2 linked regions of the Lepisosteus oculatus genome follow. The protein of the gene in region 2 purifies or fractionates together with the protein of the main gene of each other region. This does not show direct contact. Links are inferred from orthologs where the notes say so. Each region holds a gene or a part of one and is shown on either strand. Other genes may lie near its edges. The genes, in order: RCC1 domain-containing protein 1 and spag9b.

Region 1 (16,186 bases), on a different chromosome or scaffold from region 2:
ATAAATGGTAAAACCAGATTGTAAATGCCATGACGCTGAACAGGACAGACTGAAAGTGAATGAATTAAAGAAACCATATTGTAGAATGCATTACTAACAATGTGAAGTTAGTGTTCAACACGTTAACTAATTTTAAACAAACCTTAGATCCTCGAGGAGTCCGATATTGACAAAGATGGAACTGTGAATCTCTCAGAATTCCAGCATGTCATCTCAAGATCGCCTGATTTTGTTGGGTAAGAGATTTTAAACACCTAATTTGAATCTTCAGAGCTACATTACTTCATGGTGAAAGTCAACATTGGATGCACATGGTAAAATGTTTGTGGAGTAAATTAATTCAGGAAAAATAGATGGTATATGGGAAAAATATTAAATACAAAATACTTTTTTACTTTAGAAGAGAACACTTTCAAAAAATTATATCTACACATTTCCATGAATTAAAATCACTCATGGCTAAAATATATATACCTATTATCTTGTATTAGCCAAAAAGAAGTTATGACTTAGACTAAGGTAAAAAATAAACCAGTGGAATTGCAGAATGAACTGACTGACAGCGTTGGCAGTTGGTGCTGCTTCCTAACAGCTCCTGGGTGTGATTCCAACCTATGAAGTGGGACATCCTCCCTGTTTTCATGTGGGTTTCTGCCAGGTGCTCCAGTTTCCTAGGTTAACTGGCATTTCTAAAATGTGTGTATGCCCAACCTACAGTCACCCTCTTTTAGCTCTGTGCCTCCAGCATAGGCTCTTGGCTGCTGTACCCCTTACCAGCAATGAGGCTTTTCTGGCACTGGCTGGTTGGATGAGGCAGTATGGCTAACAGACCTCTTGTATTTCTGAAGCTCATTTAGGATTATCCTGTGAGCTGGCTGCCCTGTGAAAGAGTCGGAGCCACTGCAAGCAAGCCGTCTCATGGTCCTCTTCCTGACAGGCAGGATGCCAGCATTTCAAACTGCAAATTTTAACTTTTTATACAATGGAGCTCCATCTTGTGCCTTAAATTATAATACATTGTTTTAATATTTTTTAGAACCTTAACATTTTGTAGATGAATGTAGTTCTACTGTGAAAATGCTGTTATCTATTTTATATATGATCTTAATACTCTCTCGTGCAATAAAACATTTTCTTCTTATGTGTGCAATGTGTTTGCAAGATTAACAAGTAAAAACAAGATTTTTCTCTCAACAAAATTGTGTTCTCACTGTACAAATGCACCTACACAACTCAATACTGGGTAAATTAAAGTTTAGTTTTAAAACAAGACACTCCAGAAAGTCTACAAATCTTTATTAATTGTCCATGGAAAATTAATGGTGATTAGAACACTCCACACTCTTGTAAATATCTTTCACATCCAAGTAGGAGGCAAAGGTCAAGTTTCCTAGTTCTGTATTTTATTTCATAGACTTAGACTTACATGGTGACCTATTCCTGTCATTAAGCAAATATTCAAAATAAAGTCATTATTTCTAAGGTTCCTAAGTTTTCTCTTCAATATTCATGATTCAAAAGCTATGTAACAATGGAACAAAGCATCACTGTTACATCGCAGAGCAGTAGACACAGCTTCAGAGTGTTAAAACTACTGCATCAACATCTGCTATTTTCCTAGGCTGAAGAGCTGAATAAAAATCCAGAAACAGCGGGCTTGTGGGATGGAGCTTACTGTACATCACAAGAGCATGGCTTTTTTCTCTTCTGTATAGACAAAGGTGTTCCAGGGCCCACACACCACATCCACCACCCGCAGGCTCTGTTCAGTGAAGTAGTCCACACGGGCAGGCTGGTCTGAACTGTGTGGAGTTGCCTGGCCGAGCTGTCCATAATCACCTGCAACACCAAGAGCCTTACAATACAGCATAATACAACAGAGGGGAGAGACTAGTTAATTATTTAGTTTAAATTAATTTTATTAAGTTAATTATTTACTAAAACCTGTTCTCTCTTGTACCCTAGAGTGGACTTTTATTATCCTTGAAAACAAATACTAAATGGATTCTTCATATCTGGGGACTTCAAAACGTTTACAGGGAATAATGCACCTTTGTCTAAAATGCCATGATAACTGCAAGCCCAATCATGCTCAATAGAATAAGTGATAAAACAGCTGGTTTGGCAACGCTATTAAACTTACCCCAGCCCCATGTGTAGAGATCACCAGTACCTAAACCATAAAACAATGATTTACATTTTATTTACACAAGTCATAAGGTCTTTATTGATACAAATTACTGCAGGTGAAAAACATCATTAATCCTCATTAAATTACTTTGAAGAAAATAAATGGTTTTAACCTTAATGTCACAGTAATAAAACACAGATACATTATGAATTTGCATAATCTGAAAATATTGAAATTGTTAAACATTTATTTAATGCTAACTGTCTTATGTTAATTTCAACATGTCTACCAAGCATCACAGTGAAAACTGCGTACACTGGGAAAGAGACATTTTTGTTACCTACATGCAACTGCTGCTGTGTGGCGTGACCCACAACTAGCTCTGGTGACCTCTGACCCCTGAGGCAGGTCCACCAGGGCAGGGAACGCCTGGATTGAGATGAAGACATCACTGTTCGCATCCTGCTCTCTCATCATCCCACCACTTCCTGCTGTATTAAAAGGCATCAATTTTACAAATACAAAAACCAGCATGCATCATGCACAATTTCCAACACTGCATCACCAGCATAACGCCTGGCCACCTCACTGCATGTTCCTGCTGATTTCTAGATAATTTCAGCATCTGTCCAGATAAGTGGGTCAAGTGCCCGCAGCTATCTAATTAATTAGTGAAAAAGAACTTTAATAAGAAATACAGTAAAACCTCAATATTCGCACATTCTGGATTTGTGTTTTCAACAATTAGGTGAAAAGTATTAGTGACCACTTTTTCCACATTCTCAGACCAAATCCCCCTGTTAATGAACTGGGCAGTAGGAGATTAAATGCAAGCACCCACTTGCTCATCTTCCTGCAGACCTACTTCACACATCCTGCATCACTCTGCGGTAAAGGCACTGCCTGGTTATCACAGAGTTGGCATGTTTGGGTAGCAGTGCATCATGGGGTGTGCATGTGTTCAGCTTCCTTCAAGAAAGCATTAGATGTGCATTGTATGCAGATCTGTTATCAGAGTAATGCCTGTATGTAACTCGGTGGTGTGCTGCCAAATTAAAGAAGTGTTACATAACAAATACCTCTGTGGACACATACTATGTTAGGTGGGGAGCTGCGTCAGCATGCGTAGGCTGCAAAGGAACAAGTAAAGGTTTATTCCTTGCTGAAAAAAAGGAAGAAAGAAAACAACGTTTCGGCCGTGGAGCCTTCTTCAGGTGTGAGGCAAGAATAGGAGTTAGTTGAGTGGGAAGGGAGTGAATACACTTAATGAACTTTTTTGTCTGTTATTATTTTGGTGGAATAAAGTACAGTAAACTATTAAAGTACAGAATGCACATACAATAACTTGAATTATAGAGGGAAAACTGCATTTTTAAGTTTTCAGTAATTATTGGTAATTTTCATTACCAATAATTACTAACGCTATTTCTGAAACAGTTAAAAGTTGTTTTAAAAATATTATTCTAGAAATGCTTGTTTCACGAGCCTCAGAATCATACCCTACGTTCCCCATAAGTCCAGAATTTGGAAATTCGCCCTTCAGGAAGACTTCAAGGTACCTAACCCTAGCGAATACTGAGGTTTTACTATACAGTATTAATAAGGACAGTGTGTGCATATATATGTATACACACACACTCATGTTTTTTTCCCCAACCCTCAACAGCCTAGTTAAGTATATAAAGACCACTCTACAGATGCTCTATCAGGGTCAGTTGGTCTGAGTTCGAGGGGCCTTACTCCCACCTGCTCCACTGCTTCGCTGCTGCTGCTCTGCTCTCAGGCCGCGAGAGGGGAGCCCCAGCTGGCCTCTGTCATTCCAGCCCCACACATACAGGTCTCCCCCTGCTGCTCAGGGAAGAAACAGAGAAGACCGACAGGTCACTGAGGGAAAACCGCACACTGCTCCCTAACACCCAGACCCCCCCCTCGCACGGCGACAGCTGCCTTCTCCCGCACAAGTGGTCCTTGAGAAACTGGGCGCACGGGCACGGCCCTTACCACTGATGCAGGCTGAGTGCCAGCCCCCTGCGGCCACGTCCCTCATGGAGAGACCCCACAGCGCCTCCACAACCTGAGGCTCGGCCTGGCTGTCCAGCCCCCCGTGCCCCAGCTGGCCATGGCTGCAAACACAACAAAGCAGCCGGGTCAGGGCAGCCTGATATCGGGAAGACGGAAGAGCTTTTCAAGCTGTGGTGGTCATTAAAAATCCCAGGGTGTTTCTCGAAAGGAGTAGGGGAGTAATCCCGACGTCCTGGCCAAATTTCCCATTGGCCCCTACCAATCGTGGCCTCCTAATAATCCCCATCACTGAACTGGCTCCATCACTCTGTTCTCCTCCCCACTGACAGCTGGTGTGTGGGGAGCGTTCTGGCGCACTATGGCTGCCGTTGCATCATCCAGGTGGAGCTGCACACTGGTGGGAGTGGAGGGGATCCCCATTACCTGTAAAGAGCTTTGAGTGGAGTGTCCAGAAAAGAGCTATATAAGTGTAAGCAATTATTATTATTAATCTGTTTAAGCAGGGGTGGGCAGCACCCATCCTCAAAGGCCACAATCCTGCACGTTTAATTAGTACTGCTCAACCAGCACACCAATTAAAACCAGAAAAAAACAGGCGATCTGACTGATTCTTTTCAAATAAGTATTTCAATTACTTAATTAAGATCACAGGGGGACTAAATAACTGAAAACCTGTGTGTTTTAAGACATCATACTGATGCACATCGCTGCCATTAGTGGGTAATGATGTTCCTGGATCAATGTGACTGGTAGCAACGCAGTTTCTGATCAATGATTAACCAAAGTGGCCATCTGTGCCTGCACGTCCTGCTCTCACCTCCCAGAGCCCCAGGTGTACACAGCTCCAGCGGCAGTCAGCAGCACCGCGTGCTCAGTGCCCAGAGCCAGCTTATGAGCACAGAGCTGTGGAGACAAGGGGCGATAGAAAGGGACATCTGCAGCTACATAGCCTCCAGGAACCAGTGGCAAAGCTGAAGCAAAACAGAAAAAGAGACATTTTAACATCTATGTGAAAGAAACTGTGAAAGTAATTTAATCTCCATTTAAGAAATCATTCTTCAGCAAGAAAGGAAAAACCAAAACTCTTTTTTCCACTGAGCAGCAAAAAACAGCATCAGACTAATATTAACATATAACAGCATTGTTACAGGAGTTTGGGTGAAATTTTTAATTCCTGAATGAATCCTCTTTCAAAAAACATTAGTTGGCTCACAATATGTTAACTGAACACTGTTACTTCCAGACACAAAGCTGAAAGAACTACCTACAGTATCCGGACTGGAGCACTCCATCTTCCAGATAGTCTTGCCCTCCATGTCCCAGCATTCCACTCTGTCTGCGAAAGCCAGCGTCAACAACCTCTCACTCACAAGGGCATCCAGGCAACCCTTTGTTCTTGACACAAAGCTGGGAGGACCTGTTCCAAAGCCTGACAGACAGACGGGTCCATCACCTGGAACAAACCAGGCTTTCGAATTAAAAGAAAAAGTCTGACTTTGCAACTGATGCACAGCCATAACAAGGCTATTTTGGAAAGCATGTTTCAGTGCCATTTCTTAGAGATGTTAGGACATACTGTAGATGAATGATTGCGAGCTTATTTTGGATATAGGTGTAGTATTTTTGTAGGTGCAGTTGGTTGTTAGTTGTTATTTAAGGATGGACTTCAGAAAACCATTTTCTTTCTTCTTAAAAATAAAAAATCAGTAGGTGCATACATCTATGTAATTATAAGTGCCAAAACTCTTTATTTCAGCTGACACATTATACAAATCCTTTAAAATTTCACAATAACCTCGAACAAATGACACGTTCCTGCACGCCAATGTAGACCCTCGCACGATAAGAATTCTGCATGTAAATACAAGAAGTAAAGTCTCCAGTTTTCCTTCGATTGTGCGAGGTATTTAAGACTTGCATCCTATCTTATACCTCTCCGATGGAGCACAGCTCTTCTGCTCCAGCTCGCTCGGACCTGAGGACAGCGTTCCTCTTGTCTCTCGACAGGCGTCTCTTCATGACTGCCACAGCAACTGAGCCTGGTTGGGACCAGGACTCTCACACCCCCACTGGGCACGGTTTCTTCTGTCTTGCTTAACTGCGATGGAAGAGGTGTTATCTGTCCAAAGACATTAAATCCGAACCCAAACCAAGGCATTAAAAATAAATATTTGCAAACGGATAACAATGCACCTTCGTCAAATACAGGATTTACTTCTCACTGCTAACAGACAACTTAGTAGCAAGTAAGCTTTTACAACACTACAATCACGGAAGCCTGCACGAATTCTGCATCTACTGTACGAGAAGTCAGAAAGAGCGTCACCAAAACCAAGCACCGTAGTTAGTCTGCATAGCCCCGCTGCTTTTCGAGGGGTACTGCGCAGGAGTATTCAAAATAATTCAAAACAACCGAGGAGCGTTGACTCACCAAGAGCGTCTGCACCCTCATATAGTCTTCATTCCTCTGACAGCGCCACCTAGCCAGAGGGTATGAAACACCCGCGAATTACTTTGTTCACGAGGATGATACATTCAACGCATGAAAATTTCCCAAATTCCAAACTTCCAAAAACATAATCCCGTGCTTTATTGCCCATGTTAGATTTAAGATATTATTGATGTTATTGTACACAATTTAAGTGTCAACTGCATATCAGTTTAACACTTAGATGCTGCGATACACTATTAGCATAAAAATGCCTACTAATGAATAATTACACCAATAAATAAAGAAGTTTCTGTGGATCTGCATAACCAGGTTTGCAAGCAGCACATTCCAAAACATCCTATTAGCAATTAATAATCATTACACCTTGCAAAATAATGTATTATTTATATATATATATCAGCAGTTATATCACCCTGCAATTCACAATTAGAAACCAGCTGAAGCAGGTGTGAGCCTGGCCAGTACCTGAATGGGAGACCTCCTGGGAAAACTAAGGTTGCTGCTGGATGAGGTGTTAGTGAGGCCAGTGGGGGGCGCTCACCCTGCGTTCTGTGTGAGTCCTAATGCCCCAGTATAGTGATAAGATAAGATCAGGTCAGATCACTTTATTGGCCATATACAATTTCTTGCATTAGGAATTTGTCTTTTCACATACCCCAGCTTGCTCTCCATGAGACACACAGACACACAGACAGGGAGAGAAGCTTGGGGTCAGAGCGTAGGGTCAGCCATTCATACGGAGCTCCTGGAGCTCCTGGGGTTAAGGGCCTTACAATACAGCACAATACAACAGAGGGGAGAGACTAATTAATTATTTAGTTTATTCCTAAAACATGTTCTCTCTTGTACCCTCAGAGTGGACTTTTATTATCCTTGAAAACATAAATACCAGCATGCATCATGCACAATTTCCAACACTACATCACCAGCATAACGCCTGGCCACCTCACTGCATGTTCCTGCTGATTTCTAGATAATTTCAGCATCTGTCCAGATAGCTGGGTCAAGTGCCCGCAGCTATCTAATTAATTAGTGAAAAAGAACTTTAATAAGAAATACAGTAAAACCTCAATATTCGCAAATTCTGGATTTGTGTTTTCAACAATGAGGTGAAAGGTATTAGTGACCACTTTTTCCACATTCTCAGACCACATCCCCTTTTAATGAACTGCGCAGTAGGAGAGTAAATGCAAGCACCCACTTGCTCATCTTCCTGCAGACCTACTTCACACATCCTGCATCACTCTGCGGTAAAGGCACTGCCTGGTTATCACAGAGTTGGCATGTTTGGGTAGCAGTGCATCATGGGGTGTGCATGTGTTCAGCTTCCTTCAAGAAAGCATTAGATGTGCATTGTATGCAGATCTGTTATCAGAGTAATGCCTGTATGTAACTCGGTGGTGTGCTGCCAAATTAAAGAAGTGTTACATAACAAATACCTCGGTGGACACATACTATGTTAGGTGGGGAGCTGCGTCAGCATGCGTAGGCTGCAAAGGAACAAGTAAAGGTTTATTCCTTGCTGAAAAAAAGGAAGAAAGAAAACAACGTTTCGGCTGTGAAGCCTTCTTCAGGTGTGAGGCAAGAATAGGAGTTAGTTGAGAGGGAAGGGAGTGAATACCCTTAATGAACTTTCTTGTCTGTTATTATTTTGGTGGAATAAAGTACAGTAAACTATTAAAGTACAGTAGCACTGCATTTATAATAGACATAATAGCAATGGAAAAAGTAAAGAAAATGCACTCTACTAAGTATAAAAACGAATACAAACAAGAGACACCACATTATTTTATTTGCACATGCAATAACTTGAATTATAGATGGAAAACTGCATTTTTAAGTTTGCAGTACTCATTTTCATTACCAATAATTACTAACGCTATTTCTGAAACAGTTAAAAGTTGTTTTAATAATATTATTCCAGAAATGCTTGTTTCACGAGCCTCAGAATCATACCCTATTTTCACCATACGTCCAGAATTCGCAAATTCGCCCTTCACGAAGACTTCAAGGTACATAACCCTAGCAAATACTGAGGTTTTACTATACAGTATTAAAAAGGACAGTGTGTGCGTATATATGTATCCACACACACTCAAATGGGAGACCTCCTGGGAAAACTAAGGTCTCTGCTGGAAGAGGTGTTAGTGGGGCCAGGAGGGGGCGCTCACTCTGTGGTCCATGTAGGTTCTAATGCCCCAGTATAGTGACAGGGACACTATACTGTAAAAAAGGAGCTCTCTGTCAAATGAGATTTAAAACGAGGATCCTGACTCTCCGTGGTCATTAAAAATTCCAGGTTTTTTTTTAAACAGTAAGGGTGTTAACCCCAGTATCCTGGCCAAATTTCCCCCTAACCTTTACCAATCATGGCCTCCTAATAATCCCCATCTATGAACTGGCTTCATCGCCCTGTTTTCCTCCCCACTGAGAGCTGGTGTGTGGGGAGTGTTCTGGCGCACTATGGCTGCCATCACTTCATCCAGGTGGGGCTGCACACTGGTGGTGGTGGAGAGGATCCCCATTACCTGTACAGTGCTTTGAGTGGAGTGTCTAGAAAAGCGCTACACAAGTGTAAGGAGTTATTATTGCTGTTGTCTTATACAGCATGTACAGATACTGTAACTGCTTGTCAACAACTGTTTCTCCACCTTTTGGAAATGATCTGCTCCCAGACCATGACCCTGTCACCCTCAGTCTGAGGAGAAAGGACAATACTGGCTTGTATTCAGTATTTAAAACATGGCGATTGTGCTGGCGATTCCCAAAACAATCCCAAAGCCAGTTATACCAATGTGTAATCACACGTTTCATTTCAGACTTTGACAGTACCACTACTGTCAAAAAAAGGGAGAAGAAAATGTCATTTTGGGAAAAAAACAGATACTTTCCAAAGTTTATGTGCTGATGCTGCCCTTTTTGTACTCTGATGATGATTACTACAAAATAATAATTGTATACTGTAGTGCAAATGCAAATGAATTCTGTTTTAACATCCTTATTAAACTTATATTTGAAGACCACTTCTTAGTGTCTCATTTTTGTGTAACAATCCAAACATAATGTTCATTTCTTTACAGCAAATAATATTTCACCTATATCTACAGCATGTCATATACTTTAACATACAGAGGATTGAATTGCCTCCACTTCTCCTGTGATCATAACATCAACACCAGCTCCATGTTAGACTCTGCACTGAAGTGTAGTTCTCCTGAAAAAACTGTCCATGATACATCTGCACACTCTGCATATGGAATATAGTGTTTATTTAAGCGTGAAAATAAGATGGATTCTTAAGACAAATTACTTTTTAAAAACAAATTAAAAAAATAACAAAACCTTCATAAACAAAGATATTTAAAAACTGGTATATGTAGAACATAGTATATCTTATTGCTTCTTTCTGTTTTTTTTTCTGTTTTCAACACACACACAGGAATGTTGCCATAGATAAAGGACAAGAAGTTTCTTTCACAAACATCTGGTTCACAGACGTCATTCAAAGCATATTCCTTCAAGTTCCCTGTAAGTACAAAACTCAGTTAAAGGACATCTGGTGTTGTGTTCTTATCTAAAGCATGACTGAAAAAAATGTTCAGGAAATGTAAGGTCTGTGGATAAACACCTGGAGACAACCACACAATCATGCAGTGAAATACTGTATTCTGATGTCTCTACAAAATAAAAAATCTAATCAGAAAAGTATAAAAATCTGACAACATACAGTAGGCAATGAAAGTGGATGTAAATTACATTTTTTATCCTTTTTTCCTCCAATTAAGTGTTTTTTTTGTGTGAATAAAGAGTTAAATGTTTTTAGGATGTGTGGAGCAGATCAGTTTTAATGAATGTTCTTTTGGGGACAAAAAAACAGTAAAAATAGTTCAACAACACAGATAACCCTTGGGCAGTGGGCAATAAAATAGAATAATTAGACAGATTTGGATAATAATTCAGAAAATTAAGACAACAGAAGGCAATCTTTGGTCCCATTCCTGAAGTCTACAGCCACAAAAAAAGGAGCAGATTTACAGTGTCTGTGTTCTGATCCCTTGTTTAAAGTGTCAAGGAAGACATAATCCTACTTCATAGCGATCGGATGACGGGCATGTTTGTTTAAAACCCATGTAGTGCCAAGTGGATGTCTGAAGAAGACAGAGGAAGTGCCTAGACAAAAGAGTGAATTCCAAGGCTAGTGTCCCTGTTACAGCCTAATTCCCTCTAAATTACACGACTGGAAAACAACCTTCTTCTTCGATGAGTGCAGTCCCACAGCACCATTTCCTCAGCATGATCAGAGGGAGTGAAAGGCACTCGGAGCCCGACTAGGCCAGCAGCTCCTCGCTGGTGCCCTCGCTCCCAAGACTTCTGATAATGCCATACTCCACTGCCACATCCAGACACTGCTTGGCAGTCTTGGCAGCGGGGCTCTGTGTTGCGATGTCCCCCTTGGCCAGGACGGTCAGGATCTCCAGCACCTCGCTCTCCATGAGTGTCTCGGCCAGGGTCCGCTCAGCCTGCATCAGGTTGAGCACGAGGGCAGCGCCTCGGTGCTGCAGCTCCACGGTGTCGCTCAGCAACAGCGCCTGCAGGATCTCCAGCCAATGGGTGGTCTGCAGGGAGAGAGGCCGCCACAGGGCAAAGGTCAGGGGTTAAGGGGTCACATACTCCACACTGCTTTCAAAGCAGCTTCTGTTATCGCAGTTAGCACCAAATCAATTGTTGTTTCAATAAGCATAGAATTAGCAGAAGCTAGGATCTGTAACATGGGCCACACAGACACACTTGCTTCTGAGCTCATCTGTGATTTTGAAGCCATGCTTACTGTGGCGGGGACACGGGCGCAGAGCTGCGGCTGCACAGATGTCAGCATTGCCAGGGTGCCTGCCGCAGCCTTCCTCAGCCTCTCATCGTCTTCCCCACTGTACAGCACCAGCAGCTTCAGACGGTCGCTTCCCGTGGCGACGAAAAGCTCCTGAACCTGAGAAACACCACAGGCGCTCTCTGAGACCAGAGCAGACTGCTCCTCTGCAAAGATTCTGTGCTCAGTCAAGCTCTCAATACAAATCACAGGCCCGAACCTAACTGGCCAAGCCCCAGCTGTGCCCAAATCCTAATCTCTTATCCCTTACTCTCACCTTATACAGTACTAAAACAACCCAGACTCAGTTTCACAAACTAAACATCAATCCTCACTACTACGTGTCCTGATACGAGTTTCGGCCCTCACTTACCTGTCAGTTTTCACATTTCCCACTGTACCGATTTCTAACTCGGAAACAACAACAACAGGATTATCATTATTTGAAAAGGTTAAGCTTTGTCGTTTCCCAATCCACTCGGTAGAAACACTGAAAAGGAATTCGTAATAATGAACGATGTTCCTGCAGAAAGCCTCTCACCTCCGTGCTCAGGACCAGGTTACACATGCACTCAGTGGCTGCTGCGCGGACCAACTCGTGCTCCTCGAACATGTACCCTTCAATTTTCGGCACAGCTTTCTCCTTGATGATCTTCTGCCTGCGGGCCCATACACACACAGTCCCTCAAACTCACAATTACCTCTACACAGTGGGCCCACTCAGGAGAGCGTGATCGTTCACACCAGATAACGATCTAGTCAGATCCTTGTTAATTAAAGAAGAATAATAATAATAATAGCTTACACTTATATAGCGCTTTTTCTGGACACTCCACTCAAAGTGCTGTACAGGTAATGGGGATCCCCTCCACCACCACCAATGTGCAGCCCCACCTGGATGATGTGACAGCAGCCATAGTGCGCCAGAACACTCACCACACACAAGCTATTAGTGGGGAGGAGAACAGAGTAGGCCAATTCATAGATGGGGATTATTAGGAGGCCATGAATGGTAAGGGCCAATGGGAAATTTGGCCAGGACACCGGGGTTACACCCCTACTCTTTTCGAGAAACGCCCTGGGATTTTTAATGACCACAGGAAGTCAGGACCTCGGTTTTACGTCTCATCCGAAGGACGGCGCCTGTTTACACTATAGTGTCCCCGTCACTATACTGGGGCATTAGGACCCACGTGGACCGCAGGGTGAGCGCCCCCTGCTGGCCCCACTAACACCTCTTCCAGCAGCAACCTTAGATTTTCCCAGGAGGTCTCTTATCCAGGTACTGACCAGGCTCACACCTGCTTAGCTTCAGTGGGCTGCCAGTTGTGAGTTGCAGGGTGATATGGCTGCTAAATGAACAAATAAATAAAACGACTCATTCCGCACTGATGCAGGCCAGGAAAACGTCTGTTGTCATGCAATTGGGGAGACAATCTAAGCGAGCAGTGCCATTTAAAAGGCTGAGAGGCAGGTTCAGGCTCTGGGGAAAGGAGCTTTCTCTCAACATCACTGCAGCCCCCATTAGCGTCTATTATACTGCAGACATTAGCATCTTAACTCCTCGCATGTCTCGACTGACCTGAGCCTCTCGCTGATGCCTGCTAGGTTGGTGAGCGCCATGAGGGCTTCAAAGTTCTGCAGCAAAGTGCGATCCAGGGCCAACAGGCTCACCAGCGGTCGCACCACCTCATAGATCTGTAGCCAAGAAACAGTGTCGCAGATCAGTCCAGCGCATTTACCCCACACTTCACACACAAACACCCAGGACAACACGATGGGCATCGGAAGTGATCAGATGTCACACACCTACAAACCAGCAAAAGCTTCATCACACTGCACCAGATGCAGCTGCATTGCACATAATAGAGTGGACTGTCAGGATTCAGTCCCTTCGCATCAAATAGGGCATACCACCTCGATTCAAGTGGATAATTGAAACTGGAAAGGTATAAAAAGGAGGTCTTCATCACATATCAAGTTTCAGGCCTCACCCGCTCTCCAGGGAAGGCAATTTCAGGGTTAGACGTAATGGCAATCTTCGCCAGGGCCTGTGCTGCCTTGGTTTTCCCTACATCCGTGCCTTCTGTTGCCAAGGGGATCAGGGCCTAGAAAATAGGAAATCGAAGTGAGGCAAGAACGCCTTAAACGGCAACCAAAAGACGGGCACTGCACTGACAAATGTGACAAGCTTCAAACAAGACGAGTTGCCCCGACTCTCATGTTCTGATACCGGGAATTAAAAGTAGTGACACTCAGTTGGTAAAGGCGTTCTGCCCTGGTGTGGTTAAGCTCCATGATCCAGACCTTGCTGTTTGATTTGAATTTGCGGAGGGCTCCAAGAAGGGGAGCACAATAGGCTCAGCACCACAAGGGGGCAGTGTTGGGATATGTCGGCCAGAACTCTATTCTGTCCCAACAAAATTGTCAAAAAACAGTAGCCAAGCCATGAAAACACACAACTGGCACAAACACACAAATTCCACACTGGACAGATATTAAACAAAAACAGGAATTTCAGGATAATGGAAAAAGTTAATTTGCAATCTCTACTGACTAGAATGATATATGCTAAAGTGAGACTTCAAACACAGGAGACGTACGTGAATCGGAATCGCACCACCACCACAGTCGGGTTCAATCACGAGCCAGAAAACCTCACCTTCCCACCCCCCTGAGCCACTACTGTGCCTCTGTCCTCCTGCCTCTCCACCAGAGCCAGGAACACCCTGCAGACGGAGACAAACCACAGAAATGTGTCACTCAGAGCCGCTGGTCGGAGGAAGAGGGTCACGGTCATCAAAGGAAAATGGAGAGAAGACACTTGAGCACGGAAGAACGATGCAAGCCCCAAGCAGGACAGAAGAAGAGTCTCCAGCACTGGACAGAAGGGTACTGAGTACGGATCAGAGCTCACCTGGAAACGCACTCCCTGCACGACTCGGTCAGGGCAGGACTCTCCTGCTTGACCATGCACACTAGAGCCGACACCACCCCGGCCTCCAGGAACTTGGACAGGCGCTTCTGCACGAAAGCCTGGGCGTCCTGAAACACACAAACGTGTGAGACAGCAGCAGGAAGAACATACAGTTCAGTACACATAAGCACTACATTTCACAAAGGAATGCAAATCTAGCAGTTGAATGACAAAAAGAGCAGCAGCTCTTCATAACTGGGGATGCTTCCAATTACCTTCGGGTGCTCCTCAGGAACGTGCTGCTTGGCATACTTTGCCAGCTCCACCAGCTGGGGGTCAGGCTTCTCGACATCATAGCTGTTAGTGCAGTTGACCAGCGTGGAGCCCACAGCAAAGAGCACCGTCTTATCTTCAGACTGCAGGCAGAGAAGATCAAAGACAAAACAACATTGCCATTTAGGAATGGAACAGAGCCTAGGTCTAAAAACCACCTGGTCTCATGAGTTCAACACTGTATCTGAAACAACAGACCCTGGGCAATGTCTGACATCCCAAACAATTTGAATTAAAAATAAGTTCCTAATACTTCTTAAGTCAGTCAATGGCATAGTTCCTAAGTCAGTGAGCTGACAAACCTTAACCCTCCCAAGAGAGACCAGCAGTTCACAGAATCACTTTTTTTTTTAGTCACTTCATGCAGATGTTCCTATTACAGAAAAAAGGCACTGTGTGGCAGCTACAGGTTAGCTATTTTGCATTTGACTTATAGTGTACATAATACTGACAAGCAGTATGAAAAAGAGCAACAATGGGCTGGAAAACTTGAAATGGTATTCAGGATTGGCACATGCTGATGTATGAGTCCAAGTCTTCACACAATTATTCCCAGGGGAACAGAAATAGTCCATCTCCTCTACACATCACTGCCAATGCCTCTTGGCACAGAGGCATCTACTTAAATTGGCTTGATGTGCCCTCACCGCACCCCAGCAGGGGTACCTTTGCCAGCTGGAACATGGCCTGCAGAGCCTGCCTGTCCTCTGCCAAATCCTCCTTCACATCAGCATCGAAGGTAAGGTATGCCAGGCCCTCGATTGCCCAACGCCGTGAGCTGGGAGGAAGAGCCTCATTGCACAGCCACCTGCAAGAGTCGCACACAAAAACACGTTCCACCTGTTGCCCACACACCACCACTTCTAATCTCTGCACTGTGCACAATTTCCTGGGCGCGAAACTTTCTGCTGCCCATTAGCTTAACTTTGTTTTAGCATTTTCCTTAACATAAGTTTGATTTCCTCCCGTACTCACCTTTGAACAGACAGAACTTTCAGAATGCAGAGCACACTGCTTTTAAACCTATCTACGACACAATGAGCCTCAGTGCAGCATGTCTGATTTCCCTTGGCGTCTGTTATGATGAGATCAGGGACTTGGGTGAACCTCTATAAATAGAATTTTTTTTAATGAATGTCAGAAAATGACACTTACTTTCTGCACTGCTTGGCTAGTTTCAGAGTGGATCCCTCGGCAAACTGCTTCATGCTGAAATCAGTACCGCCTGCAGACCCCAGCTTACACAGACCCTACGAGACACACAGGCCCTCACATTCTTCTCCATACAGTCACTCTGCAAATGGAGCTCCAGCAAAAGAGACTCTTACACACATAAAAGGGTAAATGCTAGAAAGGCAAAATTTCTAGTGCAGACACGATTAAGCAGTCTGTCACAATGTACCATAAGCCCAAAGGAAAGAAACATTTCCTGAAACTGCAATGGACTAAAGCTGAAAATGTTCACCT
Region 2 (15,121 bases):
GAAATAAAATTAATATGGAAAAAAAACATAACTCCTATTTGTAAAAGCACAATAACAAACAGTGTAGTAGTTTTAATTCTACTTACGTGCTTAAAGCAGCTAACAGGTGCCGCAACAGAGTTATTGCTGCTGATGTAACGACCCCAATCAAACCCCTCCACAGGAACCACTGAAAAGGGCAAGACAAGGACAGAAAGATAAAATATATTCAGTTTATCACTGCTTCAGGTGACTTATTACCAACAGTGCTAATATCCACTCCAGCACCCAATTCCCTAAATATCTTTAATGCATTTTCAAGAAATTGAATCTTTTTGTGTTTTTATAAGAGTCCCACTCAGAAATGGCAAGCTTAAACGGCATTCATTTTCCAAAAGGCAGTGCCCTCTGTGTGCTATGCTTATATTCATCAACCATGTGCTTCCTTTCAGCTACTTCTGGGAGCACTAATAAGAGAGTAATGATCTAGTAATACCACGCACCTACACTATGTACATTACAGAATGCAAAATTCAAATTTCTGCATCAAGGAAGGTGTCATTTATTCTTAGATTCACACATGTAGTAAAATGTAGTAAATGCTAACCACTCTGTGAATATACAAACTCTTACTAGTTAAATAGTCACAGTTACAGGACTTCACTGTCCCTCACCTGTTTTTGATTTAGCTTGGTTTTGTTGGTTTGCCTGGTACTGGGCATATGCTGCTAACTTGGCCATTAGAGGTTGTTTTTGTAAGACTTTTGCCTTTTTTGTAGGTGGTTTACCCTGCAAATAAAAAATATCCAATATTCAATGTTATTAACATATAAAGACATTAATATGTACATTATTTGTAGATTACAATCTTATAAAAGTGAATACAGCTGCTGTTCGTCTGGCTGGTGACTCTAACCTAGGTCTTTTTGCTAACACAAGCACCAAAACAGCTTTCTTTGGGGTCACGTGTAAAATAAAGAACATTACCTGGAGCCTAGCCAGAATGCTGGCCTTCTTTGAGTTAGAGGAATAACTTCTGGAACAAGAGACGCTGCAGAATCGCTTGGTTTTGGAATAAAAGGCATCTCTGACTCCCACCATTCCACACATCTCACAGGTAGCTGAAAGAACAGGCAATTGTGGGTTACATCACACTTACAAGTGGTGGGAACAGTGAGAAACCTTTTAATTGTGCAAACATCCCTGCACGATCCCAGACTGTCGCTGGAAACATTTTTTTCTCAATTTACTCATTAATGTCATGCAGAAAAAAAAAAACAGAACACACCCGATATAATTCAACACAAGCAAATACTGTTAAAATCTGCACAGCTTACTCTGTCATGTGACTTTCCTTTAAACTTGCCTTTTTCTAGTTCTGTTTAGTGATGATGACTCTTCCCAGAGCCCTTGTAACTCACATTTCAGTCTACGGATTACCAGTTGATATATATGTACAGTATATAGCTATGCATTTATTTACACCAGCTATTGAAAGATGTTCTTTTCAACAGAACAGAGAATGAAAGAATGTAAAATAATCACAACTATGATATTTTAAATATAGATAATAAAGCTAAAAAATATTGAAAGAGCAATGAGTAAGTTTGGCCTCTAGTAAAGACAGAATGACTTAACTGCATTTTAAATGGTGGTATGGCGCTATAAAACAAACACCAAACACTCTGTGTGCTGGTGGTATGGCGCTATAAAATAAACACCAAACACTCTGTGTGCTATGCCTTTAATTTGGGTAATTAGACTTGTGTTGTGAGAGGGCAGCGTGAACTTGTGGACTGACCCATGCCAGCTTTGCCATCTGGGTAGGTGTACACCTGCCCATTGTTCTTGATGATGGGCAGGTTGGCAGGTATGGAGGCGACCTCCTCCTCGCTCTCCTCCGAGCTAGAGCTGCTGCTGGTGTCCTCACTGCAGCTGTCATACCCATCATACATCCCGAAGGAGTCCCGCCTCTTCCTGTCTGACCGAGGAGTGTGTTCAGTCTGGGTGAACAAAGACAGGCATTGAAGAGCGCTGGCTGCAGACCTGGCATTTCCTATTGCCTTGGCCTTATGGGTTACAATCAGAAACACAGCAGGCATATTAACCAGCCTGAAAACCAATGTGCACTTAGTGTATTCAGATTAAAAATCTACACCAAAGCTACTGTATGCTGCCTATTTTTCTTTATTTTAAGAGCATGATTCCAGATTGCAAAAACACCTTTCTCAAAATACCAAAGTTTCTATAGTTTCTTTTAAACAAAACTTAACACATGGTGCATTTTAAAGTATAAGAACATGCGAACAGCTGCAAATTCAGCTGCTTCTTGAAGCAGCTCAGACTCTCAGACTCTGGATCTCAACACAGGCCTAGCTAGAATGCTTCTTAAAGGCCCCAACAGCTCTTTGTGTAAAGACATGTTTTCTACTCCCCAATCTAAATGATTGCTCCTTTAGTTTCTAAATGTGATCTATGTTTTATTACAGTCATAATAATTTATTTTCATTACAGAGTCGTAAGTAGTCCTATAAGTTGACCCAATATAAAAACCTCAGAGGCAGATATATTGGATGATATTATCATCCAGGTGGGTGCTGCACATTGGAGGTGGTGGAGGGGAGTCCCCATTACCTGTAAGGTGCTTTTACTGGAGTGTCCAGAAAAGCGCTATATAAATGTAAGTAATTATTATTAATATTAGGATCAAGCCTACTTTATCTAAACTAAACAGACTATGTTCCTTTAACCTGTCTATTAAAATATGTTAAAAAGGAAATAACTTTAGAAAAAAATTATGAGTAATGAAACCACATGTAATGTCATTACACTGTAACCAAAGTTGAATTATATAGATTTTTATTTTTAATTAGTCCACACTAGCGTATTGTCCAGCTTCCCTTGTTTTAAATTTCTCAGGTTTTGCTACATACAGTACCTTGGCATTTTGGTGTCTTGATGAGAACATAGAAGAATCTAGACATCCAGGTCCCTCTCATGAGTAGCAGTTCAGAATCTGCAATGGGGCATGCCTAGAGCATGTTTCTTTTTCCTGAATTGATCCCTTTGCTCTTAACATTACATTTTATTTGGCACACCTCGTATTTTGGAAAGGAGAACATGTTGTGTCAGTATTCAGTTTAGCTGTACAGTGCAAAATCCACTATCTGCTGGAGCTTACTACTGTGACAACTTAATCAATATTTAAAAGATGTTTCTTAGCCTGCATATAAGAAAGTTTATTTTAATGGTATAATGGGTGGCAGCTTTGAACAGTATTCTAAGCACAGAAGAGACTTATTTGATAAATATGATGAACTCCCAAAACAGAATCTCGCTGTTCCAATAAATGCTACTCAAAGACCCAAGATAATAAGAACAGAACTTAAAAAAAACCTTGCAAACATTTTTACAATTATTTCTTCCACTTATTACCATCCAATATTTCCAACTTTCAATGGTAGTGGAAACTTACTACACCCGAAATACACCTAGAAAATCTTTGTATAGGATATGTATTACTGGTCAGTGAGCACCTTACACATAGAAAAACAAATATTTATGGAAATGAAATTTCAATGATCGCTATTCGATTTCATATGCATTTCACAGGATGCAATACATTCTACGGCCGCAAACGACAGTTGTAAGTATTTCAATAAGCTTAACTACTCCAACTGCAGTACACTACGAGTTAAAGGTGACAATAAAAAGATATACCGAGTTTTCGCAAATATTTAAACAAGTCATTTAAAACTTGGTATCATAACATTTCCGGGCTCTAATTTGTAAACATGGCTACGATTTTGAACTCCGGCAGAAATGCTTAAAAATCTCAAGGCAGAGCGAAACTGCTGTGTGACACGGTAACAGCAGAATGGTAACCCGCAACGCTGGTCTACAGAGCAATAAGCAGCTATTTCTCAGCATTTATTTCTTCGGAACTCTAACACCTAGTAACAAGGTGTGTTCGCTGGGGTTTTTATCTGTAATATCAGAAAAACACGTATTTTGAAGGATTTACCCGTTACATACACGAATGACATGGAAGTCTACGTACCAAGTATTTCAAAAAAACAAGGAAGCATTATCTGTGTGTGTGCTTTGAATGCTACTACCACTGCAGTCGTGACGGGCCTGCACGCCTTTTCCACTTCGTCCTGCAAACTAGCGTCTCTGCAATGTGTTTCAGCTAATTCTCGGGTGCTTCACAATCGTTAAAGCCCCGGCAATCCGTCAGCCGAACCTTTGGAAACCTGATTGTTTTACCTAGGCGAATCTGGAGGCCCCTTTTTTCTACTGCTGTTTCTGCTGCAGGCTGACAATCACAACAAAGGAAGAGAAAAACAGGCTTGTTGCACTCCAAAGCACCACGCTCGATCTCCCCGCTCAACTCACCAAATCCCTGGCGTTTTCCATCAGCCCCTCATGCAATGCCGTTTTGTTTTGTGTGTGCAGTTGTAAAATTCCCGAGAAGGAGAAATAGAACAGAAAATCAAACTAAAACCCAAAATATTGAACTCCAGCTGAATATCAACAAAATTATCATATCTGCAGAGCGCAGGCGCAGGGTAAACCCCCTGGTTGCCATTGGTCGGAACGAGGAAATGGTAATCGACACAGTCCTTACACGGAGGATTTTGGCCCCTGGAGGCCACCGTACTACCTGAGGGGGGGAGTCTGTTATCGTTGCTTCAATGGAGCGCACCTGTTCTGCAGGCACCCAAAGACATATCACGAGTTGAACGGAATTATGACACTTCTGTTTTTTATTTGACATCCTTCAAAGAGCTATTGTATCCAAACGAATGAAGCTAGATAGACCTCAGGCAGTTTTTTCACTTGCACTGAACAAAAGCCCACTGATGTTACGAATTGACCCAGCTAAAAGAAATCGTACAACATCTGGGGCGCACCTGCTCGGTACATGAGGAGCGATCGAAAGAAGAGAAGACTCCGACACAGTTTTAAGAAAGCAGAGACCTTGTGATGGAGGCAGTGAATTTACACATGCACGCCGTATACGCTGTATCCCGTATGTGGGGTTCATAGCTTTTGCGTTAAACATTTGAAAACCTAATGTTTATGGTTCGCTCCCAAAACTAAAATGACCTGATTTATTCACACGCAACGTACGAGTTATGTGTGTGTTGTACATTTTGAAATCGTAACACTGTTTTTCAAGATACATACATTTCTTTAGTTCTCTCATCCTGAGTCGATCACGAATTTACAATACCATTCACCCCATTTTACTGTTAAGTCCCGCTTACCAAAGAGGGCAACAGATTTTCCAAAGAGGAATTCTGACATGGGAACATTGGTTTTAAATGTGCACACATTTATTTCAACCAGCTTTTTTACCTTGCAACTTCCAATACAACACGAACTCTTATAACATACTACATATACTTCAACCGTGAAAGTAGAAATACAGCTGCTACTGCACCATTAAATACATACGTTATCAGTAACAAGAACAATAATTAAGCTCGGAACTTTCGACATTTTGCGGCGCACAAAAACGTACCTTTCTAAGCCAACAGATTGCTTTATCGTTCGGTCCAACTAGAGGTCGATTAACTTCTGCTTTGATAGGGACACCTCTGTGTAAACCACTTCTGTGTGCGCGTTTTAATTGAAGACTGAGAGCTGTGTCTTTTCAGCACTTTGTAAAACAGCAGGAGTGTCAGGAAAACATATTTCAAGAGCTTGCTATTGGGATAGTTTGACATATTAAAACAGAACCATGGTAAATTAAAATGTCTGTTTTTTATATAATTTTGTTTTGGTCGTGGTAATACCAACGTCGCAAGGAACAAGTATGAGCTGGTTAAACGAGCAGCAACATTTGAGACCCAGCAGAGGGCGCTGTTTTGTAACATCAAATCAGACTCAGCTTTACCTATAGCAGGTGAGTTGTTAAACGTCTTATGTGCCAGGTAGACGGCACTCTATAAAAATATTTCTTTTTAAAATGCAATGTATTAAATATGATATTGCACATGTTCGTTGGGCATGACATACCAACTTTCAACAATTCAAAAACAAGCACTAACCGCATGTGTAGCACCATATACAGATTCACAAACCTGAACTAAATTAAACATTTTGGCGTCAGATTCCACCTTGTTCTAATATTTAATAATCCAACAGACTTCCTCACTTTCTGCTTTCGATAATATACCACCTCCATTCATCTGAGGGATATATTCTAATCAGAAGTGCAGACATTCGATAAGTTCTTTACTAGTTTAATTAGTTCCTCCAGTGGGTTCTAAATTGGCTATTTCTTTTGAGTTTTACTTATGTTTGTCTTAAAACACATAATGCAAGACTTACCTAGTTAAAAACGAACAAGTCGAATGGTTCAGTGCATTTGAATAAATAAAAACGAATACAGTACTTGGAAGACAATGAAGAAGTGAACGCACAAAAAGATAATTCGATACACTCTGTTCTGTTTGAATATTTCAAAAATATTAATTTCACGACTCGTGCAAAATGAAACTACTAATTAATTAAAGACACCCAGGCGTAATCTTTAAAGAAACGAAAATTGCAGCGCAATATTCCAGCCCTTCCACTCGCAAATCCCAGCCCCGGTTTTAGAATGTGACGTCATCACGTGACGGTCTGGTCAACAACTCAGCTGCACAGGGAGCTGGAGGAGCGGCAGCCAAATAAAACACAAGACATCGCTCCCTTAAAGGGAGGGACTGCAACTTGCCCGGATTCTTTTATTTTTTTATTATTTTTTAATTTTTTTTTAAAGAAGTCCGGCATCTACACAACGTTGAGGAGCAGATAAATTCGTACAAGATAGCAAGAGGTGGAGGGCTGCACCGCATCGGAAAGAGAGAGAGAAGAAAATGGAGTTAGAGGACGGAGTTGTATACCAGGACGACCCGGGGACGGCGGCAATGATGTCGGAGCGGGTGTCGGGCCTGGCCAGCTCCATCTACCGCGAGTTCGAGAGGCTCATCGGCAAGTACGACGAGGACGTGGTGAAGGAGCTGATGCCGCTGGTGGTGGCCGTGCTGGAGAACCTGGACTCCGTCTTCGCCGAGAATCAGGAGCACGAAGTGGAGCTGGAGCTGCTGAAGGAGGACAACGAGCAGCTGATCACTCAGTACGAGAGGGAGAAGGCGCTGAGGAAGCACGCCGAGGAGGTGAGGGGGATTGAGCCGGGAGAAGGGGCGGGGGGTGATCTGTCCCCGCTAGGCCGTTGGCATTATTCATCATATTCCTGCACCGACCCTGTGCCAACCGCCAGCCGCCTCTGGGCCACACACGGTGTACAACACCCCAGGCGTTACCGTGCGCGCATCATGGCATGAGCGATCTGCACTGCACGGTGCGTCCAGAGACCCAGCTAACTGTTACCCTTCTTCCTTAATCCCTTAATCATCGTGCCGTGGCATCGCCCGATTGCATTTTCCTTCTGTCAGCTGCCATAATTCATAATTCAGCTGCCATTAAGTCACAACCCAGCCCACCCCGAAAAAGTAAGTTCGGACGTGCCTTGGGTTTTCCAGAAAACAACTGCACTGCCGTTCTGAGTAAAGACGCTTCACATTCCGCAGGTTGTGGCCGTCGTGCCGAGCCCCTTCGCAGGCAGTTCCTGTGCCCCTGTATAGGTGGTGGCAGAAGCATCGGATTGTTGAACCGGTGACGGGGAGAGTTGACAAGGTTGCGCGCACATTTGCCTTCTTAGGGACCTCCTCGTAGGTTTGGAGGTTGTTGGTTTAGCTGCGGGACTAGATCGTTATTCGTTTATCCGTTTCCGAAGAGAGAGTGGCCTGCTATTTTTAAAGCACAGAGGAAGAAATGGAGAGGGAGGTGCTGTAGTGTATTTTCCTGTAGTAAAATTCCTGGATATACTTATCCATTTTGCATCCCTTTATCTGTCAAGTTCAGCGAGTGCTTTGAAGGTACAAGCTGGCAGTCATTCACAAACGGATCCCACAGGTGTGCTGGTGTATCAAGCACTTGAGTGGTTCCTCTATCATTATTTTGTAAGAACTGAGATTAGGCACTATTGGGGTACTGAGGTTTCTTGTTTTTTTAATTATATTACTTTCCTTTTAATTTCATCATAGAAATCCATAACATCCTTTCCCCTAGTCTGCATTTATTGTTGTTTGCTTAACATGGACCATAAGTGTCGAAGATAAAGTATGTGCACATGAGTTGTCATGACACTAAAAGTTTCAAGTTTAATGTTTTATTTATGATATTGTGTGAAGAGCAGTACATTTAATTTGGTTAAAAATAAGCAATTATTCAGTGTTTTAAGTTTAGACTTAGTCTTTAATGAATGATTTCATGCTATGAAATGGTTTGAGATACTCTGTCAGGATTTGGGTGTTCACATTGAAATATATAGTGAGTTGTGTAGAAAAAGGGAATGATTTTTAGATTTCTACCCGTGTTAAATGATTTTGTTCCAGTGTTATTTGTACAGTTTTTCTAATGGGAATATTTTGCTAATGCCAGCGGGTTTGTGGATCTGAATTGCAGGTTTGGCAATTCACAGGAACTTATTTTCAGAAATATTCACCCTGCATGACCATTTGCTAAGAGTCCCCTTGTATTTGTGCAAACTATTTGATTTGACATCAATCATTCTTCATATCACTGATGCGGAAAAATGCAGTACTTGTGCCATTTAACAGTGGCAAGGGCTGTTCTGAAGAGCCCCTACCTGAACTGAGTCACTTGCGTGCACCAGCCTAATCTAACTAGCCTATTTTTATCTTCAAGCTATGAAGTTAAGGTGGTGTATCCATAATCAACGAATCTGGAAAAAAACTATTTTAATGAAGAAGTAAATTGCTAAAGGGAAACGACTTGTACAATGAAGACGTCAGTGGCAGTGAGACAACAGATCTCAGAAGCTAATCAAGTTAGAACCAGGTTACTACTGGACTGGGTGAACTCTAAGGAAAGCCAGGTTTGCTGTTGTACAGATGGATCAGTAATTTGCTCTCTTCCCACTGGAACAAAATGTCACCATGCTGGGACATTGGTTTGGACAGCTCTTAGTGCTATAGGCAGGGCCTTCCTTCAGAAGAGATATTAACTCAAGGTCCTGACTACAGTAAATAGGCATTACAATATCACATGGCACTGCTCATAAGACCCGAGTGTGACCTGGTTAATGTCTCTGGAGTTGCACAATTTGCCATCCTTAATTTCTCTCTGAATTCAATTGATTACCAGTTTCTCTATTCTGCACCTTATCTGCTCTATAGTGGGGTTACTGATGGAGAATTTTGCACTTGGGTATTTTAGGATTGCCTTTATCACAGCCCGTATGAGAATCTGTCGCTGTATTCCCTGTTTAATCCTTCATGAATGCTGTAGAACCGTATGGCTGTGCAGTGCAACTCTGTGGATGTCAGCCCTTGCCAGCTCAACTAAATCTCAAAAGCCACAATCACAGCCACCCCACAGCTTCTTCTGTACTCAGATATGATGCATAATGGCAGTAGCAGCAGAAACTTGCATACACAGTTCTGTATTTTGATTACTAACAAACAACATTACCTAGGAGAATGGGAATCATTTCATGTTTCATGCACTTGTCATTTTTAGACCAATCAGAGGCAGATGGGAGATCTTGTGCTTATTGGTTGCCCTGTGGGAACCAGCCCTCCATCTGAATCAAGGCAGTTAGTTTCCAGCCTGTACTGGTTTTGGCTTTGCTACAAGTGGCACATGGGCTTTAGTAATCACAGTAGTGCAAATGCCCTGGATTGGTTTTCTCTTTTGCATTTTATATAGGTTTTATGTCCTAGGAAGTGAAAGTGCATGTTATTCTGAGAATGTTAGAAGAAAGAAAGTCTGTAATTCCCACCAATTAAGCCTTGGGAGCTTTAAGAGCTTGGTCACCCCTGTCTAGGCTCATTATGGAGCAGTGCAGTTTCTCAGAGCTCCTAGTACACGTTGAAATTGTTTAAGCATCTGTGTCCATAGGTGCTGATGTATTATTATGCTATGCAAGGAAGTGGTGCTTTGCTGAGTGGATCCCTGGATGAGGAGAAGACTGTCGTTGACAGACGGGGCATCTCCTTTCACATTGCTTTCCAGGGATGGGGATAGTGAAGCCAAGCTGTCAGAGTTCATACTGTGAAGTCAAGCAGGTATTCAGTAAGCTGCAGAAATCCAGGTTATGTGGCATGTTGAGGTTTACCTGTATGTGCAGTGCTTGGCTAGATTCATACACCCCAGTGTATCTCTCCGGAGAGATGCTGTGTGGGGCTTTGCACTGTCCTGAAGGTTTGGCTTTAGGATACATTTCATATTATTTAACAGCCTGAATCAATGTGGAGCCCCCATATCTTAAAATAAGGCATAAATAAAAAGGACAGAGAACATTTTTGACACTAGGTCTTCTGTACATTTAATTAGATTATAATACAGACTGAATCCTTTGCTCAGGGAGCTGTTAGCTTTTTTTTTCAGTTATTGAGCAAATATGTTGTCTAATTTGACAGGTTTAGAGTTCTGTGACATTGAATAAGCATTAATTGATGCAAAAGATGCCCTTTTCCGGAAGAAAATGCTTGATTAACCTTATGCTATAGTTTTAGCAGAATACGAACACTGCATCCTGATAAAGCTGGTAGGTACTATTTTTGGTGGACTGAATAGTTTTGGATTGAGATGACAGTTTGATTCATTACTTCCTTCAATAGTCCGCTCATACTTTCCATAATTTCATCTGCCCAGTGTATCCCTTGTGCCTCAAGCCTGGTATGAAGCACAAATTCTGACTAAATTAAGAAAGAAGCTTTATGATTTTGGCAGCAGTTATTAGTACAGCATGGAGCAATTATTTGCTTATTCCTGGGGTAGGGCTGGACTAAGGCTGTGACCTCCACAGTTATAGAACCAAGATGTGACAGACTACGTGGACTCCTGAACACAGCGAGAAGAGTCCCTGATCAAATACTTTGCTTTTTAGCTTGCATGGTGGTTTTCATGATATCACACAATTTCTTGATGACGAATACCCAAACTCAGAAATCAAAATTAAAGCTCTGTCCAGTTAGTCCCTTTATAACCCCCTCCCAGCAAATGCAGAAACCAAGAAATCAATTAGCGTAGTCAAATAATCGACATGCATCCTTATTAATAATGCTCGTTGATGTCCGAGCCTTTCTGGCAAGTGATGAGCTTTATTTTATGTGTTCTGATCTGGACATAAATGGACACTAGTGGTGCAATCACTTAGTGTAATTAGGTTCACCAATTCAGCAGTTTTCATTCCTGGCCTGATTAAATTTTAACCGGACACTTAGAACAAACCTGATCAGGCTCCTTCATGTGGGTATGTGTGGTTTTACAGCTGCAGGCATCGCTGCTGGGGAAAAAAAAAGATTGTCGGAGCATTTCAATTACATTTATAAAACTGCAAAGATAAGCAAATGGCAAAACTTAAATGACATCCACTCATCTGCATGTCAGAAAGCAGTGAGTTCTGACATTTTCACTAACCTGCTAGGAATGCTTTTGGCATTGTCTTTTTTACCTGAAATGCTCTTGTTGCATATGTATGTTTCTTTTTTAACTTGGTTAAAATTGGGGGAAAAAGACCTTGAGGATTTGGATGTGATGTATTTTAAAATATTTCTTCTTCTGCCATATTTGTTTTGTCTAGTTTGCAGAAATTGCTTACTAAAGTTATCAAAGTAGAAAATGTGGGCTTGGAGGGCTAAAACAAACATCTTAACACAAATAGTTGTTAGGGTCTGGAACAAACTGTCTTGCAGTGCTATCTTTCCGAGTTGTTTCCCTGGTATCTTTCGTGAAACGGCAAGAAAAAAATCCTCAGATCAATATGTTACAGGCAACGGAATGAGCGAAATGGGCCATGCAGCCCTTGTTTCACATGTACAACTCTGACAACCTTTCCAGCAAAAGTAGCTTCCAGAAAAATGGGGGAAAAAAAATCAATTTAAAATAACTCATTAATTGAGAATAGTGTTTCCCCACTGCGGTTTATGTGTCTAAGTGGCATTATGGCTCAGCTCAAAGTTCAGGTGTAGCTGCTGCAAACTCAAAGAGATAAGCTTTGCAAAGCAGTTGTGCTGCAGCAGGCTGTAAAGTGTCTTCACAAATGGCTAGGCCTCTTGGTTCTGTGTTGTTGCCTTGACAACACGTGATGAGTGTCTCAGTATTGTGGTTTCGGTGTCCAGTTCTTGAGGCCGTTTTGCCTTGCTTTGTGACTGTGCTCCCCCTCTCTGGTGATGTTAAAACATGAGATGATGATGTAATTGTTCAGTGACACATCACCACTATCTTCCCAGCCAGCAGACAGCTGGAGAGAGCTGCCAGCTACACAGTTACACTTAGTCATTTTCTTGGATTGTTTCTGCTGAGTTGGAAGGCTATGATGTTTATTCACAATGCTGATCTGCTTTTCTTCTTGGCATAAACTGGTTAGGAAGTGATTTTGGACACACCCAAGTTAACCTCTTCCCTTGTATCCACTACAGTTATTATACATGCGTTGTAATCACTGTCATATGGGTTTTAAAGTTACATGGACAGCCTAAGAAGAAGACAGTGTTTTTCAGTTCACTTTAAATTGTTCAGTAACAGTACTCAGTCTCTTTTTTGGTTTGTTTTACTTTCTCATAAACGAAACATAAGAGGATGGTTAGTAATTAAGCTTCAGGTCTGCTTTCCTTTACAGGCCTCTTAGTGTGTAATAAGAAATATTTTCAGAAGAAAGAAATATTGGTACCTAGAAGATCAAATCAATTATTGTTTTTCCACTCAGGGCAGGGGGGAGAAAACATACTTTTTAGTTAAAAGATGGCAGTATTTTATGCATACAGAAAAAAAATGCACAAAGCTTCTACCATTTGGTAAATTGATTATGAAAGAATAATGTAAGTGATTATTTGCTGTGAAAGAGTTAGAGGCTGCCGGTGGTATTCAGACAAGGACATGTCTCTAAACTGAACTTTTTACCATCAAATTGGCTTTATTTCTGCCCCAAAACCTGGGGATTTATATCTGAATTTCTAGACTGCAATTACAGAATGCTATAAACAATAAGATTTTTTTTTCTTTCAGTGCTAATTAATATGCAAGGTGTGCTTTTATGAACATGTATCTTGAGAGGCACTTTTTAATGGTGATGTGTTTCAGCGAAACGTTTTCAGTGAAATATATTTCTGTCAGCCTCTTCAGCATTGATAGTTCAACCTAATGCGCGGGTTACAGTTTAGGACCAAAGTGCTGTATTGGAAATCTGCTCTGGTTTATTCTTGTCTATTTTTTTTTTATCGGCGCAAAACCTCAAGGCAGCAGTTTTTTTTAGTGAGAAAGTCCACTTTGCAACATACAAATTTTAATTGGGGGGGAAGCCCTTATGTAAATAATCTGCCTAGTTGTAGAGCTTGGGGTTTCATAGATGCAACCAGAGAGAATTTGATTCTGAGGGTATTGAAGTAGTTTAAAAGTGCCTTTAAATGCTGTTTTTAAGTTCAAGAATAATCCATAAGAAACAAGGACAGGGTTATTCTTGAAATTGTCACGTCCCCCACAGATGTGTATGTTTGTGTGTGCAGTGATGTTACATGGTTCCGCTTTTTCTAGCAACTCTTAGCAGTTTGGTCATTTGTGGTCTAAGACAACCTCCAGTCATATTCTTAACCGGTTACTGCAGCGTGCTTTCCCACTGCAGGACTTCTGAGGAAAGCATGTTTCCTGAAAGCATTTGTTGGAGACTTGTGGGAATGATGCAGAAAACCGAAGGCTTGACGAGACCCTTGAGCTTGGATGTAAGGTCTGAAACGAAGAGGGCGTCGTTTCAAATTTTGATAGTTGCTGTGCCATGTCTTTGCGTCTGTCATTGTCATGGGTTGAAAGGGTCTGTGTTACCAGTGAGCGCAGCCGCACTTCATTCTCTGCTTTCCACAGCCTGTAAAAGCCAAGACGGAATCTCATTTTCAGGACGGACGTCTTTGTTGGGGGATTCTTTACAGGGACGAGGAAGTAAAGCAGTCTCTGTGGTTACACAAAAAGTATAAACCCTTAATTGGGGAAAGAGGTTCAGTAAGGTCTGCAGCACAATGAATGCAGGCTTTTCAGATGGCATCGTTCAGGTGGCTATTAAGTTACTGTGAAGAAACTCATAAGCATTTCGGTTCAAGGATCCTATTACTACACTTCTTCGTTAATTTCCTGCTGTTTTACAAAAGCTTGGTGTAATCAACAAATGGTAAATGTTTTCTAAACAAAATAGCACATGATCTCCAATGCTTTGTGGCTGCACTTCTCCCCACAGTAAATGCTGTTCACACAACTCTTCTCGGGGGTTAGAGATCATCAACTACTGACCACTGTTGTCAGGTGTGCTATACATGTTACACGAGCATAACTGCATTAAGGCACATGTCCAAAAATGCAAATCAGCCATGCAATGGTGACGAAATAAATTATTCTTTGTGGATACACTGTAGAAAAGTCAACTGCAATACTAATTTCCACTTTAATATGTCCTGCATTGCTGAATTTATAGCATGCAGAAACCATGTGTTTTGTGTAATACAGCTTTCAGAGGTGCAACACAATTTCCTTTCAGGATTCTTATTAGGTCTCCCAGAGACTTTTCAGTGATTCCTTTTTATCACTATTGCTGCAGTAGATTTATTGATCAGGATAGCTGAAACAATCATTAGGTTTTTTGGCAGGGTATTTCAGGAAAATGTGCTTTACAGCCCAGTGGGCTGTAGTGTTAAGCAGTATTATAACTCTGTGGGGTACTTGAATGAAGTCGACCCTCCTCCGGTCAGGCATAAAGAGATTTCAAAGCTTCAACCTGCCTGGCCCTTGAGAGTCTTTTTGTGGAGCACACTGCAGCCCACAAAATAGCAGTCTTGGCAGCCTGCGGCAGTCAGGACAGTGAGAATGACTGAGGGGAGGGCGCAGAGGTAGAGACAGGGTGAGGCTGTCCAGGCTGTGTGTACATTTGATTCCTGGGAAGCTCAGCACAGGAAAGGGGATCTTTGGCCTCTCTGAAGGCAAATTCCAAGAACCAGACTGTGAATCTTTTTGCTGCTGTCATCATGTATAATAATCTCCTTATTCCCTTCTGAAAAAGAGCTGTTGTTTTTGAGCA

What was found.
Region 1: the proteins of spag9b (region 2) and RCC1 domain-containing protein 1 purify together in Homo sapiens (affinity purification with mass spectrometry; 3 studies listed by BioGRID and IntAct, counting the BioPlex papers as one, with this or other methods). This does not show direct contact. The link is inferred for Lepisosteus oculatus from reciprocal best matches to the Homo sapiens genes SPAG9 and RCCD1.

Annotation. Positions count from the first base shown.
Region 1 is NC_090700.1:60,923,303-60,939,488, reverse strand, and holds RCC1 domain-containing protein 1, read right to left. Parts: upstream 6,535-16,186; 5' UTR 6,312-6,534; coding exon 6,086-6,311; intron 5,607-6,085; coding exon 5,418-5,606; intron 5,125-5,417; coding exon 4,971-5,124; intron 4,255-4,970; coding exon 4,133-4,254; intron 3,980-4,132; coding exon 3,872-3,979; intron 2,623-3,871; coding exon 2,476-2,622; intron 2,174-2,475; coding exon 2,144-2,173; intron 1,840-2,143; coding exon 1,682-1,839; 3' UTR 1,280-1,681; downstream 1-1,279. Other genes in the region: calcium and integrin-binding protein 1, read left to right, coding at 148-236, 849-870; unc45a (protein unc-45 homolog A), read right to left, coding at 10,934-11,221, 11,434-11,589, 12,011-12,128, 13,052-13,167, 13,464-13,577, 14,132-14,198, 14,387-14,514, 14,662-14,802 and 2 more. UniProt on the Homo sapiens protein: Plays a role in transcriptional repression of satellite repeats, possibly by regulating H3K36 methylation levels in centromeric regions together with KDM8.
Region 2 is NC_090704.1:33,784,171-33,799,291, reverse strand, and holds the start of spag9b (C-Jun-amino-terminal kinase-interacting protein 4), read left to right. Parts: upstream 1-6,668; 5' UTR 6,669-6,851; coding exon 6,852-7,151; intron 7,152-15,121. Other genes in the region: mbtd1 (MBT domain-containing protein 1), read right to left, coding at 87-169, 654-768, 967-1,100, 1,781-1,982, 2,918-2,947. UniProt on the Homo sapiens protein: The JNK-interacting protein (JIP) group of scaffold proteins selectively mediates JNK signaling by aggregating specific components of the MAPK cascade to form a functional JNK signaling module.